4 linked regions of the Macaca fascicularis genome follow. Each later gene encodes a partner of the first gene's protein in a complex. Links are inferred from orthologs where the notes say so. Each region holds a gene or a part of one and is shown in the gene's direction. Other genes may lie near its edges.

Region 1 (4,229 bases):
ATTGCTGGTGGGTGGAGTCGGGGGATTATGTGGCTCAAAATGTCAATTGAGCTGCTGTTGAAAAATCCTATCTTAGCTAATATCCCCACTTTACGAATGAGGAAATTGAATCTTGGAGTGGTTAACTTGCCTCTTATAAGTTTCAACCCAGGTAGTCTGAATCAGGGAACCTTCCTGCTTAACCATGACCCTATATACACCTACGACTAGAACCAGTACCCTGATTTGAATTCAAACACGTCATTTGTCCAGCGAGACAAAAATGAGGTCCAGAGAGGGGAAGAGACTTGCCCAAGGTCACACAGTGCAGGAGCGGGGCTAGAACCCGGGACTCCTGAGTCCTGGTCCAGTGTTCCCTCCGCGGGCTTTGCTTCTGCCTCTACAGAGGACCCAAATGGCCAGCCCTGGGGAAAGGGCCTAGGGGAAGAGGGCCAGCTGCCATGCCGCTGTCCGCTCGGGCAGCCTGACCCGGGCACGAGACTCCTGCGGGGTCACCTGAGGGCGCCAGGGAGAAGAGCGAGGGAGGGAGCAAGAAGGAGGCAGGAGCGCTGGCTCCAGCTCCGCGTGCTCCCAGCCCCTGGCTGGGCGCCCACGTGAGGGTCGCCCCAAGAAGTCGGGGGCAAGGAGAGAGGGTGCAAAGCCCCGGCCCGGGCTGGACGGAGAGAAGCGCGGCGGAGACTTCCCCGCGCCCTCTCTGGGCCCATTCAGCCCACCTCCCACACCAGAGTGTCGCGCCGCAACCCCTTACTCCGCGCCCTCTGACCCTGATCCCTGCCCTCTCCCTCTGGCCAAGTCCTCGCATCCCTCGGATTCTTACACGCGCCGCCCCAGCAACCCGGACCGCGCGCCGGGGTCCGTACCACGCAGCCCAGCCCGCCGGCGCCGCCGCCAAAACCCCGAGCCCGAAGCTGTTGCAGCCGCCGCAGCCGCCGCCACTTCAGCCACCGCCACCAGGGTAGCTGCGCCAGCTCTCCCATCCGCCGCCTACCGTCCTCTCAACCCCGCTCGCCCCGCCCCATTTCCCCTTCACAGCGTCCTACTGGCTAACTGGGCTACCATGATGAGCTCTGATTGGTCAATTCTCACGTCTTTCCGCAGGTCTCGCCCGCAGCCGAGGCAGTACTCCCTGCCCGCCTCCTTAAGAAGGGGCGGGACGAAGAATCCACGCCCCTTTCTCCTCCCATCTTCCCCGCCTTAATCGTTGAGTCCAACCCAGAGGGAGTCCCAAGTCTTTCCATTGGTGCAAGGTCAAAATGGCGGTGCTTCTGATTGGTCAGACTTCAGGAGGTGGGGACAATTGAGCGGAACAAGAAATTGAATGGTGAAAAGAAAGGTCAGTCAGACACAGAGTCCCGCCTTCTGAGATTGGCGGGTAACCTCGCAACGCTGGGACCGCGGCGGTAACTGTGGCTAGGGAAACCTGGAGCCGTCAGAGCGGGTGAGTAACCAGGTGGGAAAGGGTCGCGGATCGGGGGAGATGTGGAATGGGGTTCAGCCCGATGTCCTTTGGCTCCCTGAGAAATTGGTAGCCCCCGCTGCGATCCCGTCTCAGCTTCAGGACCCCGTCCCTCAGCCCCTGCCTCAGTCTGGACCTCTCGCTCCACAGCCTGCAGGGAGCCGGCCTCCATTCTTCCCCTTCTACCTGCCCACTTCATGGCCCCACTCCCTCATCCCTAAAACGACAAGGACACCAGTCAAGCAGAGTCACATCGTAGTTAACTTATTTCAAGTCAAACATGGGAGCTGTGGGTGGGAGGGGGGTTTATAAGTCCCCTCCCATTCCACCCAACGACCATACGTTCCTCGGTGAGCGGGCCATCTCACTTAAGTGTTTAAATTAGGTAGTTTTTGTTTGTTTTTGTTGTTGTTGTTGTTGTTGTTGTTTTTGCCTAGCGCGGTGACTCACGCCTGTAATCCCAGTACTTTGGGAGGCCAAGGCGGGCAGATCACTAAAGGTCAGGAGTTCTAGACCAGCCTGGCCAATATAGTGAAACCTCATCTCTACTGAAAATACAAAAATTAGCTGGGCATGGTGGTGCACCTGTAATCCCAGCTACTCGGGAGGCTAAGGCACGAGAATCACTTGAACCCGGGAGACCGAGGTTGCAGTAAACCAAGATCGCGCCATTGCACTCCATCCTCCGCAACAGAGCAGGACTCTGTCCCAAATAAATAAATAAATTAGGTAATTTTTATTATACCACTTTTGCCTTTGTCCTAACTTTGGAATTTATTTCCCATCTCCGTCCTTAAAATGTAATCTCTTTGTACCTACTAAAGATAGAGAGTTTCTTGTGATGATTAAATGAGGCTGAGGGGTGGGCACAGTGGCTCAATCTGCAATCCCAACAATTTGGGAGGCCGAGCGGCGGATCACCTGAGGCCAGGAGTTTGAGACCAGCCTGGCCAACATGGTGAAGCCCTGTCTCTACTAAAAATACAAAAATTAGCTGGGCATGGTGGTGCATGCCTGTGATCCCATCTACTCGGGAGGCTGAGGCAGGAGAATTTCTTGAACCCGGGTGGTGGAGGTTGCAGTGAGCCGAGATGGTGCCACTGCACTCCCGCGGGGGTGATAGAGCGAGGCTCCATCTCAATAAATAAATAAATAAATAAATAAATAAATAAATAAGGCTGAGGTGGAAGAATCGCTTGAACCCAAGAGGCGGAGGTTGTAGTGAGCCATGATTGCACTGCTGCACTCCAGCCTGGGCCACAGAGTGAAAAACCCTGTCTCAAAAAAATATATAAAAAAGAAAAACTTTGAGGTTCAAAAGATATTTTCGTAAGAAAATGAAAAGATCAGCCACAGACACAGACATGGAGGAAATATTTGCAAATCTCATGTGTCTTATAATAGACTTGTATGTAGAAAATAAAAATAACTCTTATAACTCAAGAGGACAACTCCATTTTTTTAATGGGCAAAAGAGTTAAGTAGACATTTAAAAATCAAAAAGACAATCCCAAATATCATCATGTAGATAAACAAACTAGCTTTCATATATTGCTGGTAGGTACAGCAGAATACCAATTGGTACCACCAATCTGAAATATAGTTGGCAGTTTCTTAAAAAGTTAAACATAGGCCAGGCACAGTGGCTCATGCCTGTAATCCCAGCACTGTGGGAGGCACAGGCAGGTGGATCACCTGAGGTCAGGAGTTCGAGACCAGCCTGGCCAACATAGCAAAACCCCGTCTCTACTAAAAATACAAAAATTAGCAGGGCATGCTGGCGGGCCCCTGTATTCCCAGCTACTTGGGAGGCTGAGGCAGGAGAATCACTTGAACCTAGGAGGCGGAGGTTGCAGTGAGCCGAGATCATGCCACTGCATTCCAGCCTGGGCAATAGAGTGAGACTCTGTCTCAAAAAAAAAAAAAAAAGCAAATGAGTATTTCATTATTTTGATCTGAGCTTTACGATTTTTCTTTTCTTTTTTTTTTGAGATGGAGTTTTGTGTTGTTGCCCAGGTTGGAGTGCAGTGGCACGAGAATTGCTTGAATCTGGAAGGTGGAGGTTGCAGTGAGCTGAGATCACGCCACTGTACTCCAGCCTGGGCAACAGAGCGAGACTCAGTCTCAAAAACAAAACAACTACAACAAAAAAATGTGAGTGGAAACAGAGATCGTTTGCAGATTAGCTCATGGGAATTTGGTGGAGTGATAGAAATGTTCTAAAACAGGATTGTATCTAAAACTGATGTGGCAACTTTAGATACATTTACAAAAATAGTCATTGAGTTTTATACTTACAATGGGTGAATTTTATGGTAATGTAAATTACACCTCAATAGAGCTGTAAAAAAAAAAATTACACGCGTGGTTAGTACCATGCAGGAAAGGTGAGAGAATTTCCACAGGTTGTAAAGTGCTGTGTGTTCCTGTCTGAGAAGGGGTAGCCATTGAGCTAAGACCTAAAGAATGAGAAATTGTTAATCCAGGGAGAAATTGTTCATGGGGGGTTGGTTTCTGACATAAAGTAACATTATACATTAGTGCCTGAGAGCAGGAGGGGTTTGAGATAGGCTGTTTTTTGTTTGTTTTGTTTTTGAGACAGAGCCCCTCTCTGTTGCCCAGGCTGGAATGCAGTGGTGCAATCTCAGCTCACTGCAACCTACGCCTCTTGGGTCCAAGCAATTCTCCTGCCTCAGCCTACCAGGTAGCTGGGATTACAGGTGCCCGCCATCATGTGCTGCTAATTTTTGTATTTTTAGTAGAGATGGGGTTT
Region 2 (4,003 bases), on another chromosome or scaffold:
TGGGGAAATGTAGCAATAGATTAAGTAACTAGGAGAGAAGATAGCCATGTAAACACCTAGCTAAAACACAGGCTTTTCAAGAGCTACAAAATCAAACATTTAAAGATCAGGAAACTGATGCTGAGCAAAGTCAAATGGCTTGCCTCAGTTTACATATCCACAGTTGGGACTCAAACTCAAATGTCTTGTCTCTAACCTGAGCACTTTCCTGCACACTTGCATCCCTCTAGGTCAGTACCCTAGAGTCCATGGGTCTGCTGTTCCTTTGTGTCTCATTTCTCTGAAGTGGGAAACGCCCTCGACTACCTATTCCTGTACTTATTACCCTCATTCCACAGTGTACTGAAGAGGATCTTCAGTGGTTTGGGGTTTTTGTTTGTTTGTTTGTTTGTTTGTTTGAGACAGGGTCTCCCTCTGTCATCCAGGCTGGAGTGCAGTGGTGCAATCATAGCTCACTGCTGCCTCAACCTCCCAGGCTCAAGTGGTTCTCCTGCTTCAGCCTCCCGAGTAGCTGAGACTAACAGGTGTGCACCACCCTGCCAGGCTAATTTTTTAATTTTTTGTAGAAATGAGGTCTCACTGTGTTGTCCAGGCTGGTCTTGAACTCCTGGCCTCAAGTAATCCTCCTGCCTCAGCTTCTGAAAATGTTGGGATTATAGGCATGAGCCACCGCCCCCAGCTTAGATCTTCAGTTTTAAACCTACTAATGTCATTTTGCTGATGGGACCTCGGGATGTCAATTGTCCAACATGGCTACTGTCAGTCCTTTTCCTCTGTATCAGCACAACATATTATCTCAGATGTGTACATCTGAATTTGGAAGTCTCCAAATTGCAGGCCATGTCTACGTGGCAATGAATCATAACCAATCGGCCTCCAAAGCCCTTTCTTTTCAAACTATACTTAGGGTTTTGGGATAAGGAAAGAACTGACCCTTTGAGACCTTGATATTTTAAGCTTTGTGAGCTGATTTAGCCCATTCCACCTTCCTACCAACTCCATGTTTCCCAGTTGCCTGGACAACATACAGCCTCCCGAAACCCAACCTTCCAGCCCTCAGTCCTGCCCTCAAGAGAAATTTGCCACCAAGGATTGGCTCCCAGGACCCAGGCCCCGCCTCAGGCTCCTCGCTAGTTGGGCCTTCTCTCTGCCACTCCCCACGGGTGGGTCACTCCACAGGGAGCCCCAACACTGGCAGGAGAGGATCCTACAGGTAGGAAGAGGGGGTTGAGGATGATGGGAAGAGGGAGGGGAGCAGGTACAGGGATTTATCTAAAAGAGAGTTGTGAGGAGTGACTTCCGTACAGTCAGCCTGGTTGAGAGAAAAAACTTCACCCTCCCCGTTGACCCCAACCCTGCCTGAGGTTCCAAAGAGACTGTGAACTGACTTTTCTGAAGAGTATGAGATGCAAATTTGGAGTAGAACCAGGAGACTCCCCTGAGACTCCTGATTCAGTCAGGAAAGCATCCCTGTGTCCAGACCTAAACATAAGGTCCCCTCCTTCTCCCAGGACAGCAAGGAGATGCCACTTAAAAACAAAGAAAAAGGGAAGAAATCTGGGGCGCAGAAGAAAAAGAACTGGGGTGAGTCATGGTGGGTGGAGGTGCCCCCTGCTTCTCCATGTTCTGGCATGAAGACCACGCAGAGCTCCTCCAGAGAGAATTCAGCCTTCTACATGACAGGATGGAACTCTCTTGACCTTCCTCTTTCGTGTCCTTGAAGTCAGATGCAGGGAGCTGAGGAAGTGGGGAAATGGTCACTCACGCTGTCCTTTAAGCACCATCTAGCTTTGTGCCTTCCTAATATATTTGTCATGTGTATTTTGCATATCTGTTATGTGCTGGTTGGTAAGGACACAGTGCTGACTTCAGTAGACTCTGCCACCATGGATCCCTCATTTAGTGGTCCTCAGGTCTCCTGTGGCAAAAGTGCAGGGTGTGGGGCGAGGACGCAAGGAGAGTGAGGAATGCTGAGATCACGAAGAGCTGAGGCTCTGCCACTTGCCACAGCAGGTGCAGATGTGGAGGCTGAGTCCAGGCACAGGCTGGTGGTGCTGGAGAAGGAGCTGCTCCGAGACCACTTGGGTAAGGAGGGTAGAAGTTGGCATGGGGGTGGGCAACAGGGCAAGTGAAATGGGGCATTTCTGTATCCTGGGGGATTGGAGAGTTGGAGATACAGTGGGGGGCTAAGTTGAACCCTAACCATCCCCTAGTGGAAAAAGACAATGAGAGAGGGGTGGGCAGTGAGAGTTGATAAAGGAAGCTTTTTTTTTTTTTAGACAGAATCTTGCTCTATTGCCCAGGCTGGACTGCAGTGGTGTGATCATAGCTCACTGTAATCTCAAACTCCTGGACCCCAACAATCTTCCCACCTCAGCTTCACGAGTAGCTGGTGCACACCACCCTACCTAGCTACTTTATTTATTTATTTATTTATTTTTCTTTTTTAAAATTTATTTTATTTTATTATTTCATTTTATTTTATTTTACTATCTTTTTTTTTAAGACAGAGTCCTGTGCTCTGTTGCCCAGGCTGGAGTGCAGTGGCGCGATCTTGGCTCACTGCAACCTCTGCCTCCCAGGCTCAAGTGATTCCCCTGCCTCGGCCTCCCAAGTAGCTGGGATTACAGGCACACAGCCACCACACCCGGCTAATTTTTGTATTCTTATTAGAGACAGGTTTTCACCATGTTGGCCAAGCTGGTCTCGAACTCTTGACCTCATGATCCTCCCACCTTGGCCTCCCAAAGTGCTGGGATTACAGGCATGAGCCACTGCGCCTGGCCCTATTTATTTTTCTTATAGAGACAAGGTCTCACTCTGTTGCCCAGGCAGGTCTCAAACTCCTGGCCTCAAGCAATTCTCCCACCTAAGCCCCCCAAAATATTGGGATTACAGGCATGAGCCACCATGCCGGGCTATCCGGAAAGCTATTTTGTATAGGCAGAACATGGAGAGAGTCTTTACTTCTTAATAATGAGGAGCCTGTGAGACTCTAGGGATAAAAAACAAAAACAACAAAACCCAGAGAGAGAATAAGAGGCTGGACGCCCCGCCACCAGATTTCTAGAGACGGGCAAAATTCATCAAGTTCATGGGGGCTGATTTAGCGGGCCCCAGCCAGTCCTGACAGTGGCTCTGGGACTGCTCACAGCTGTACGGAGGGATGAAGCCCGTCGAGCCAAGGCTTCCGAAGACCAGCTGAAGCAGAGGCTGCAAAGGGTGGAGGCTGAGCTGGAAGGGGCCCGAAGTGAAGGGAAGGCCATATATGCAGGTGTGTGGTCTGTTGAGCAGGTGGGCAGGAGACAGGGGCCTGGAGGAAGACAACCAGCAGGGTCAGATGATGCAAGGAAGGGAAACAAGGAGGGCTTCCAACTGCCAGGCCTGGTCTTGGTCTTCCCCGAACAGTACAAATCAGGCAGGATCCTGCAGGAATCAAAGGCAGGTAGGTTCCTGGGATCCCAGGCAGGGGCCTGCCAGGATGCCTGGTGCCATGTGCTTGATGCTGTGTAGGATACACATGCAGTCATAGCCATCACCTCAACCATCCTATGGGAGGGGAGAAGGACTAGCATCCCCATCCAAAGCTGGACGGTGGGGGAGGTGGGTTGGGCTTCCTTTCCCTTCCTCAGGTTTTCATGGTCTCTAGCTTCTCAGAATCACAAAAAGAACCAAGAAGACCATGGGCCGGGAGTGGTGGCTCACACCTGTAATCCCAGCACTTTGGGAGGCCGAGGCGGGCGGATCACGAGGTCAGGAGATCGAGACCATCCTGGCTAACATGGTGAAACTCCGTCTCTACTAAAAATGCAAAAAATTAGCCGGGTGTGGTGGCAGGTGCCTGTAGTCCCAGCTACTCGGGAGACTGAGGCAGGAGAAGGGGGTGAACCCGGGAGGCGGAGCTTGCAGTGAGCCAAGATCGCACCACTGCACTCCAGCCTGGGCGACAGAGCGAGACCCCGTCTCAAAAAAAAAAAAAAGAAAAAGAAAAAGAAGAACCAAG
Region 3 (4,070 bases), on another chromosome or scaffold:
ACTACACTTCTTAAAACAAGTTGTACAGCACCTGCCTCAAGCCTGAGCTAAAGCTGAAAATTGACACCTCAAAGCAGGTGGAAGCCAAGAGATGGAGGAAAGCCCTCCTTCCCTACTAGAATGAGTCCACCTCAGACAGCCAGATGTTGGACCTCTGCCTCTGTTCCTAGATCTCTGTTGCTAGATGAAGGAAAGGGCCCCAGGGGACCCATGTTCAAATCAAGGGCTCCCTGGGTACCAAGTTCTGTGTAGTAAAAATTCTAGCAGCGTGGGCCTGCCTGACATCATTTTCTGCACAGTTTCTCATTCTAATTAAGGCATAGATTTGCTGGTGAGGCACTGGTGAGGGCTTGAACAGACCCAATCCCTGGTGCCTGGCCCCTCGCTGCTTGCAAAGCTTTGCCTCAGCATCCTGGCCACTGGAGCAGTAGCCACTGTTCAGCAGTGCTCACCACAGGCCCTGGTCCAAGTTCCTCCGCGGGCGCCAAGATGAGTTGTGGCACCCCGATTTATTGATGAGTTAACAGAGCTTCGAGATGTACATCCAGGGTAACCAACTAGTAGTCCTCGGCAGAGCCGAAATCAAAGCTACCCTTTGAAACCTCCACCACCCTGGCTGCCTCTCCCTTCCTGAAGGCCACTTTCTTTTTTTATTAGCCGTCCCTCTGAAGTCTGTCCCTCTCACCCTCCAGGAGATCAGGGGCCCCAACCACATCTTGTGGCGCCAGGGCTGGAAGGGTGTTTGGCACAGGACATGGGCTGTGTGAAAGAGCACTCTGTTGGCCTGGAACCTTCCTGCGTCTGGTGCCAGATTTTCAGCCGGGGAAAAGGTGGACGGTGCCCTCCCGCAGGGCCTAAGGTCAACAGGAGACCTCAGGGGAGTTCAGTGACTTACACAGGTGCCCTGGAGAAGGTCCGTCCACCCTCATCTTCCACAGACGCTTTTCCTGGACCAGCTCCCTATCCATGGCCACACAAAAGCTAGCAATAGAGCACAAGGACTCCAGACCAGCAGCCTGCCCGACCTCCACCTCCCGCAGAAAGCCCACCCGTTCCTAGACACGTCCCACGGAAGCACAGGGCATAGCTCAAGACCACGGTCCCACTACCCCCAAAGCGGCCGCTTCCACGGAACCGTCCGAAGGGCTGGCCTCGCCACCCTGCGCGCGAGTGAGCCGCTTGCCGGCGCGCAGCTGCAGCCAAGGAAGCAGCAGCGCCCCCTCCTCTGAACCGCGGCGCACTGGTCCTCCCGGCCCGGCCCGCTCCTAGCAACACGGGGCGTCCCCAACGACAATGACCGGCGCCGGCGCGCGGGACTCTGTGTGAGGCGAGCGCCGAGGCTCCCGAAGCGGGTGAGGCGACCTCGGGGGAGTGGGGACACACAGCCCCGGTCTCCCTTATCGGGGCCCGCTCAGGTCAGCTGGGCCCGGGAGCCCCTCTAGCGTCCTCTGCCCACACCGGCCAGAAGCCCACAGGCGGCCATTGCCTGGGTTCCGTTTTCTGTGGCGGGGAAGCGCCGGTCCGTACCCACAGGAGACCCCACGCCCTCCATGCGAGGACGCCCCGCGCCTCCTCCCCACCACAGTCACTGTCTGCAGACCGTCTGGCCCAGGGCTGGGTATCCGAGTGAGGCGAGCGGAGGAACTATGGGAAGAAGAGGGGGAAAATGGGGCATCCGTAGGGCGTGGAGGAGAGCGGTCCCAAGCCCTGGGGCCCCAGCCTTCTGCGAAAGGCCGTCCCTGTTCCCAGCACCCGAGGGCTGTAATCCCTCCCGCGTGTCCAGAAGCTTGCTTCCGCATCTCCCTCCCTCCCACTGCACTGCCGGTTTTCCTGGGTTACCAAGGAGAAACCAGCGCCTCTACACCCCAGGTAGGATGGGGGAGGGACCCCGTGGCCTTTGCAGCTGAGCTTCCTTGCTAGGGTGTCTGAGCTGAAGGTAAGGAGGGGTGGGAGCAGAACCGCTGGAGTCCCTTTTGAGACAACAGACCTGAGTGGTCAGGAGTTGGGAGGAGGCCAGCCCGGGGGCTGTGGTAAGTGAACTGGCGGTTTCACCCAGCCCAAGTCCAAGTACGCGGGCCGAGGCCCGGTTGGAGAAAGTTTTTTGCCCTTCCATAAATGGAATTCCCAACTTGGGAGTGACTTACCCCAAAGTAAGACATGGTGGGCATGAAAGAAATGGAGGTGGGTGTAGACAAAAGCCGAGAGTCCTGAGGACAGACGAGGGCTCTCCTGAGGGGATCTGGGATGGGAGTGGCTAAGAAGGCAGTCAGAGCAGTGGGTGCAGAGCCAGCTCCTGGGGAAGTGTCCCAGGCACAGAGGTGCTGTCTGCCCAAAGAGAACTGGGTGTCTCCACTTCTCGGCTAAGAGGAAGGGAGGTAAGGACAGTTGAGGACCAGGACTGTGATGCACAAGAAGGTGAGAATGCTCCCCTACAGCATCTTCCTCGTGTTCCCATTAGGGCAGGTGGAAGGAGCTCCTGCCCAGAATGGTTAGATTTAGCTGGGGACCTGAGGAAGGATAGAGAAGACCGGAGACTTCCTGTGGAGGGAATGTGCCAGGGGCAGGAGAGCACTACTCTGCAGCACTCCGTTGGGCTCCTCTGGCCCTCCAAAGGATGCAGGCAGTGGTCCAGCTTGCAGAAGGCTTCTGTGCCCAGCAGTGAACTGGAAGAGGGAGCCTGGACTATTTAGGTCAGCACCAAGGGGATAACCCTGGGCTCCGTGTTGGTGAACAAGAGAGCTCATGAGCTGGAGAAAGTGGGAGACTCACTGGAAAAGTGCTGTGAATGACTGAGTTGGGAGCAATTTATAAGCAACCCCAGCATCTCATGGAAGTAAGAGCATTAGACAGACACAAACTAAAACCTCAGCTTCTCCACTTACTAGCTAGTGACATTTAGTAAGTTACTTAAGCTTTCTAAGTTTCAGTTTCTTCATTTGTGAAACAGGGACAATAGTGTTAAATAATAATCCTCAATAATTAATTTCAGAATTTAATGAAATTATGTAAGTAAGCCATCTAGCATCTTCACTATATCTAACACACATCTTGAGTGCTGGCTCTGGGCCCAGCACTATATGAAATGTCTCACACACATTAACACCTTAATCTTCTGGGTAATCCTATGAAATAGGTACTATTAAGTACTGTCCTCACATTATAGATGAAGAAACTGAGGCAAGCGGGGACCTGCCCAAGGTTGCACAGATAGTGGGGGGCACTGTGGAGATTTGACTTGAGGCAGCAGCTCAACTCCTGAGTACTTAGCCAGCTGCTGTCCTGCCTCCTGCTATGTACATGCCATTGAAGGCCTAGAGCTCTCAATAAATCATAGCTATATATAGCCAAGGGTATCGTTCCCAGAACACCTGTCCACCAGATTCAAGCCATCAGAAATGAGGACAACTCTGGCCAAACTGGAGCATCTTGTCACTTTCTATTACACGTGCTTGGGCATGGAAAGAGCAGTCCTTCACACCCGGTCCTTTGAGTTAATGGCCTGGTATGGATGTTGTTCCCTGTGTGTGATTTCAGGACCCTGGACCCTGGTCCTGAGGATGCACAGTAGGGGCCCAGGGGAGGAGGATTGTCCCTTCCCTAGGGACTGTGGTACCAGGTTAGAGACACAGCCATGTGAAGCCAAACTAGCTGGTAAAGGCAGGCCCCAGAGAAGTGAAAGTCCACTGCATGTGTCCCCACTTTCCCCCTCTGAGAGCACAGCACATCCTTGGATGGGGACACCAGGTGGTGGCACAAGACATACCCACTCCTGGTGGCCCTGACCTCTCTGGAATGTCAGGATTCCTGCCCTGCCCATGTTCAAGACTGGCGTCTTGAACATGCTCCTAGTCTTCAAACTCTGGGATTCTCTGACTGACCCAACAGGTTCCCCAGGGAAGGAAAGCTCCAGAGAGGAAGGTGACCCTTCAGCCACCTCCAGGACTGCCCTGATGAAAATATTAAATTTTGTTTCATTTAGGGGGAAAATGCATTTACCCTAACAGGGATGAAAACTGTACATTAGGGCCCTGAAATTCCCATAGTAAAGTACCAAAGGCCTGGGCGCGCTC
Region 4 (4,291 bases), on another chromosome or scaffold:
TGTTAGCCAGGATGGTCTCGATCTCCTGACCTCGTGATTCTCCCATCTCGGCCTCCCAAAGTGCTGGGATTACAGGCGTGAGCCACCGCGCCCGGCCACACCTAGGCTTTTTTAACAGCTTGCCCAGATGTGGAGAAGAGGGAGTGCTGCTTAAAAGCTGTCAGCAGCCAAATATCAGCAGCAAAAAATGGAGTCAGATTTCTTATTTAAAAAGATGTTGGAAGTGGTATCGGGACAGTGTAGGGCCAAAGTATCTCACTGATCTCTTTTCATGGGTTTGTATGGTACCTTTGCTCTCACTTATCTCTTGTGCAACAGCTGATTCCCACTGACTTTCTCATGGTATCCTACTCCCAGGCATAGACATGCGTATGCACACATACTTGTTTCTGTCCTTATGGATAGTGGAAACAAGAACCAGAACCAGGGTGAGTTTTTGGTCAGAGCTGTACCATGGCTCCTAGGAGAGTTTAATGCTTTAGGTTTCAACCAAAGGAGACAGAGATCTGGCAGAAGACCCTGAAGCCTAGAAGCAACTACCCCCACTCCTCCTACCACCACCACCTAGGCAGGTGTGAGGCAAGGATCCAGGCAGCTGCTGTTAGACTCTACAGCTGTTGGATGGTTTTGGCATTCCTAAACCTTACTACTGCTTGCAAACTTGGAAGAACTGATTTTAAAAACCCACTCCATTTGCCTCTGGGCAGTTCTTACTCACAAAGGGTGGATCTTCTTGGCCCCACAATTGTCTGTGGGTTGCACCATTTAACAGCTGAGAAAATGGCCCTCAAGAAGTTGTGACTTGCCCAAGGTGGCAGGGCAGGGCTAGGACTAGTACCCACCCTTTCTCACTGCTCATCCAGTGCCCTTAATTCCCCAAGGGCTAATGGGACAGAACCCTGTTAAATGGTATCCAGTATTTGGTTGGTTGGTTGGTTGGGTTTGTTTGAGACAGAGTCTTGCTCTTGCCCAGGATGGAGTGCAGTGGCTCGATCTCGGCTCACTGCAACATCCACCTCCCAGATTCAAGTGATTCTCCGGCCTCAGCCTCCCGAGTAGCTGGGATTACAGGTGCCCACCACCAAACCCAGCTAAGTTTTGTATTTTTACAAACATTTGTATTTGTATTTGGTGACTATGAGTTGGAGGAATATTTGATGAATTAATGGAAGATGAATTAATCATCAAGGTCAGTAAGTGATGAACCACAGCTTGGTCCAGCTCTTTAGTCCTCTAGTCTCCTGGTGAGACTCCACAGCTCCGCTAATACGACCGGGCCTTCGTGGGGCTGACAACAGCCCTGACAAGCCACCGGCTAGAGAGGCGTCAGCCCGAGGCTGGGATGCTCCGCCCGAATGGCGGCTGGCGGCGGGCTGGGCCCAGGGAGCTGCGCGCGCAACCACTCGGGCGGTGGCCCCGGTGACCGCTCTCCCTGGCAACGGTTTGTTGCTAGCAACCAGCCTGCGGTCTGGAGGTGGTGCGGAGGGAGCCGCCTAGGTGCCGGGGACTCCTGCCATGAATCCGCCGGGGTCCCTAGCGGGCCTGGACCCGAACCTGGACGAGCACTTGTCCACCCAGATTCTCGCGCCCTCGGTCCACTCCGACAACCCTCAGGAGCGCATCCAGGCCCGGCGCCTCCGCATCGCGGCGCGCCTAGAAGCCCGGAGGCGGTGAGCGCTGGGCGGGCGGGGCGGGATCGCGCAGCAGGGGCCGGAGCAGGGCTGGTTTCCTGATGAAATAGAAACATTTCTTCCGGAAGGTTCATGCAGAGTATGGGAAAGTAAAACGCTGGGCCGGTGCCGCGACGCGCGCCTGTCATCCCAGCATTCAGGGAGGCCGAGGCGGGAGGCTCACTTGAGCCCAGGAGTTCGAGATGATCAGTCTGGGCAGCATAGAGAGACCGCATCTCTATAAAACACCAAAATATTAATCGGGCCTGGTGGCCCGCGACTGTGGTCTGCACATGGCATCTTTTCCACTACGTACACCCCCAAACCGTAGGGTCTGCTGGATCATGTGGCCCAAGTAGCCTGGCTGCTTACACTGTGGCCTGGGTCCTTTCCTGTTCCAGGCACCACTCAAAGCTGGCAGCTTTTTGTGTCAGCCTGAATAGTATTCCTAATGCGGGATGTACTAGGACCCAAAGTGGTCTAAGAGGCATTGAGTTTCCTTCTCTGTAGAGGATGCAAAACGCAGTAGATTTGTTTTTTACTTGATAGGCTATCCCAGTGTGCCACTGACCACTGGACCCCTACAAACTTGAATGACATGCAGTCCCTGGGCCTTCATAGGGTTGATTGCCAACGTCTGGAGCACACATGTCTTACCAAGCCCTGCAGTGTGTTTCCATCACTCGCTCATCCTGGCTGATTGCTGCAGGGCCATCAGTGGAATGCAGGGGCTGGCAAACCCTTTCAGTAAAGGGCCAGATAGTAAATATTTTAGGCTTTTGGGATCATATGGCATCTTTCCTAGCTGCTCAACTGCCATTGTAGTGCAAAAGCAGCCACAGGCAAGACATAAACAAATGGGCATGACTGTGTTCCAATAAAGCTTTATTTATGGACACTGAAATTTGAATTTCATATACTGTTCATGTATCACAAAATAGCCTTCTTTTGATTAAAAATAATAATAAACTTTATTTTTTAGAGCAGTTTTTAGGATCACAGCAAAATTGGTCAAAAGGTACAGCATTCCCATATACTCCCTGCCACCACACGTGCACAGCCACTGTCAACATCCTGCACTGGAAGGCACATTTGTAACAATATATGAACCTTGGCGCATCGTTATCACTTGAACTCCATCGTTTACCTTAGGGTTTCTTTTTGGTGTTGTATAGCCTATGGGTTTGAATAAATTTATAGTGACATGAGCCCACCAATATGGTATTACACCAAATATTTTCACTGCCCTAAAAATCCCCTGTGCTCTACTTATTCATCCTAGTCTTTTTAAACCATTCATTTATATATTTTTTAACCATTTAAAATTGTAAAAAATTGTAGCTTGTGCCTGTAATCCCAGCACTTTGGGAGGCCAAGGCAGGAGGATCACCTAAGGTCAGGAGATCAAGGCCAGCCTGGCCAACATGGTGAAACCCCGTCTGTACTAAAAATACAAAAATTAGTTGGGTGTGGTGGCAGGCACCTGTAATCTCAGTTACTTGGGAGCCTGAGGCAGGAGAATTGCTCGAACCTGGGAGGTGGAGGTTGCAGTGAACTGAGATAGTGCCACTGCACTCCAGCCTGGGTGACAAGTGCAAAACTCCGTCTCAAAAAAAAAAAAAAAAAAAAAAAAGGGCCAGGCGCAGTGGCTCATACCTGTAATCCCAACACTTCGGGAGGCTGAGGCGGGCGGGATCATGAGGTCAGGAGTTTGAGACCAGCCTGACCAACATGGCGAAACCCTGTCGCTATTAAAAATACAAAAATTAGCCAGGGATGGTGGCGTACACCTGTAATCCCAGCTACTCAGGAGACTGAGGCAGGAGAATCGCTTGAACCCAAGAGGCAGAGGTTGCAGTGAGCTGAGATCGTGCCATTGTACTCCAGCCTGGGCAACAGAGCGAGACTCTATCTCAAAAAAAAAAAAAAATTGTCAGAATCATTATTTGCCTGGAAGCCATAAAAAAGCACGTGGTGGACTGGATCTGGCCCACAGGCCATAGTTTGCCAGTGCTGAAGTAATGGATCATTGTGATGTTCTCTGGGATATCCAGATGTCCCTGATGTATTCAGAATATATTATGACAGAGATCAGGAGAATTACCATGGTCCTGTGAGTGTGACAGACTTGTGAGTGTATATCATTGTCTGTTCCATGTAAATGTGAACTTCCTGATTCTTTTTCCTGATGTAGAAAAGCATGCATTTGACCCAATCAGTAGCCACACATACTGTGCCTGAGGCTGTACAAATTTGCTCTAGCGAAGCTTACCACACTTGCGTAGATGCTGTGTTCAGGAGTGCTACCTGTGCAGCTTCCGGTAGTTGACAGTCGTTTTCTAGGATCCAGTTTCTGCAGGTGCCAGATCCATGAATTAAAAGGAGATTCAATAGGGATCACCACTCCTGCATCGTTGAGATACTTCAGGGTGACACTAATGCCCACCAACCGCCCTGGGCGGCAATGTTGTTTTCTGTGTACTCAGGTGCAGTTTCAGAGATGTACTTTTGGCCTTCCCCACTATGACAGGTCTATTTGTAGGCCAAGGAGTGGAGTTTTTCAAACTTCTAAGTATGTCAGTCCCAATTCTACTTTTGGCCATTAGAGACATGATGACTGG

What was found. Proteins that work in one complex are often made in the same cells at the same time.
Region 2: DRC10 (region 1) and DRC12 share a complex: the UniProt entries of both Homo sapiens proteins name them as parts of the nexin-dynein regulatory complex. The link is inferred for Macaca fascicularis from reciprocal best matches to the Homo sapiens genes DRC10 and DRC12.
Region 3: DRC10 (region 1) and DRC5 share a complex: the UniProt entries of both Homo sapiens proteins name them as parts of the nexin-dynein regulatory complex. The link is inferred for Macaca fascicularis from reciprocal best matches to the Homo sapiens genes DRC10 and DRC5.
Region 4: DRC10 (region 1) and DRC1 share a complex: the UniProt entries of both Homo sapiens proteins name them as parts of the nexin-dynein regulatory complex. The link is inferred for Macaca fascicularis from reciprocal best matches to the Homo sapiens genes DRC10 and DRC1.

The regions. Positions count from the first base shown.
Region 1 is NC_088385.1:120,145,311-120,149,539, reverse strand, and holds the start of DRC10 (dynein regulatory complex protein 10), read left to right. Parts: upstream 1-1,396; 5' UTR 1,397-1,438; intron 1,439-4,229. UniProt on the Homo sapiens protein: Component of the nexin-dynein regulatory complex (N-DRC), a key regulator of ciliary/flagellar motility which maintains the alignment and integrity of the distal axoneme and regulates microtubule sliding in motile axonemes.
Region 2 is NC_088388.1:118,066,405-118,070,407, reverse strand, and holds the start of DRC12 (dynein regulatory complex protein 12), read left to right. Parts: upstream 1-1,170; 5' UTR 1,171-1,213; intron 1,214-1,511; 5' UTR 1,512-1,523; coding exon 1,524-1,584; intron 1,585-2,010; coding exon 2,011-2,085; intron 2,086-3,154; coding exon 3,155-3,274; intron 3,275-4,003. UniProt on the Homo sapiens protein: Component of the nexin-dynein regulatory complex (N-DRC), a key regulator of ciliary/flagellar motility which maintains the alignment and integrity of the distal axoneme and regulates microtubule sliding in motile axonemes.
Region 3 is NC_088378.1:127,220,990-127,225,059, forward strand, and holds the start of DRC5 (dynein regulatory complex subunit 5), read left to right. Parts: upstream 1-1,237; 5' UTR 1,238-1,352; exon of another isoform or gene 1,353-1,869; intron 1,870-2,727; exon of another isoform or gene 2,728-2,833; intron 2,834-4,070. UniProt on the Homo sapiens protein: Component of the nexin-dynein regulatory complex (N-DRC) a key regulator of ciliary/flagellar motility which maintains the alignment and integrity of the distal axoneme and regulates microtubule sliding in motile axonemes.
Region 4 is NC_088387.1:95,843,298-95,847,588, reverse strand, and holds the start of DRC1 (dynein regulatory complex protein 1), read left to right. Parts: upstream 1-1,458; 5' UTR 1,459-1,515; coding exon 1,516-1,670; intron 1,671-4,291. UniProt on the Homo sapiens protein: Component of the nexin-dynein regulatory complex (N-DRC) a key regulator of ciliary/flagellar motility which maintains the alignment and integrity of the distal axoneme and regulates microtubule sliding in motile axonemes.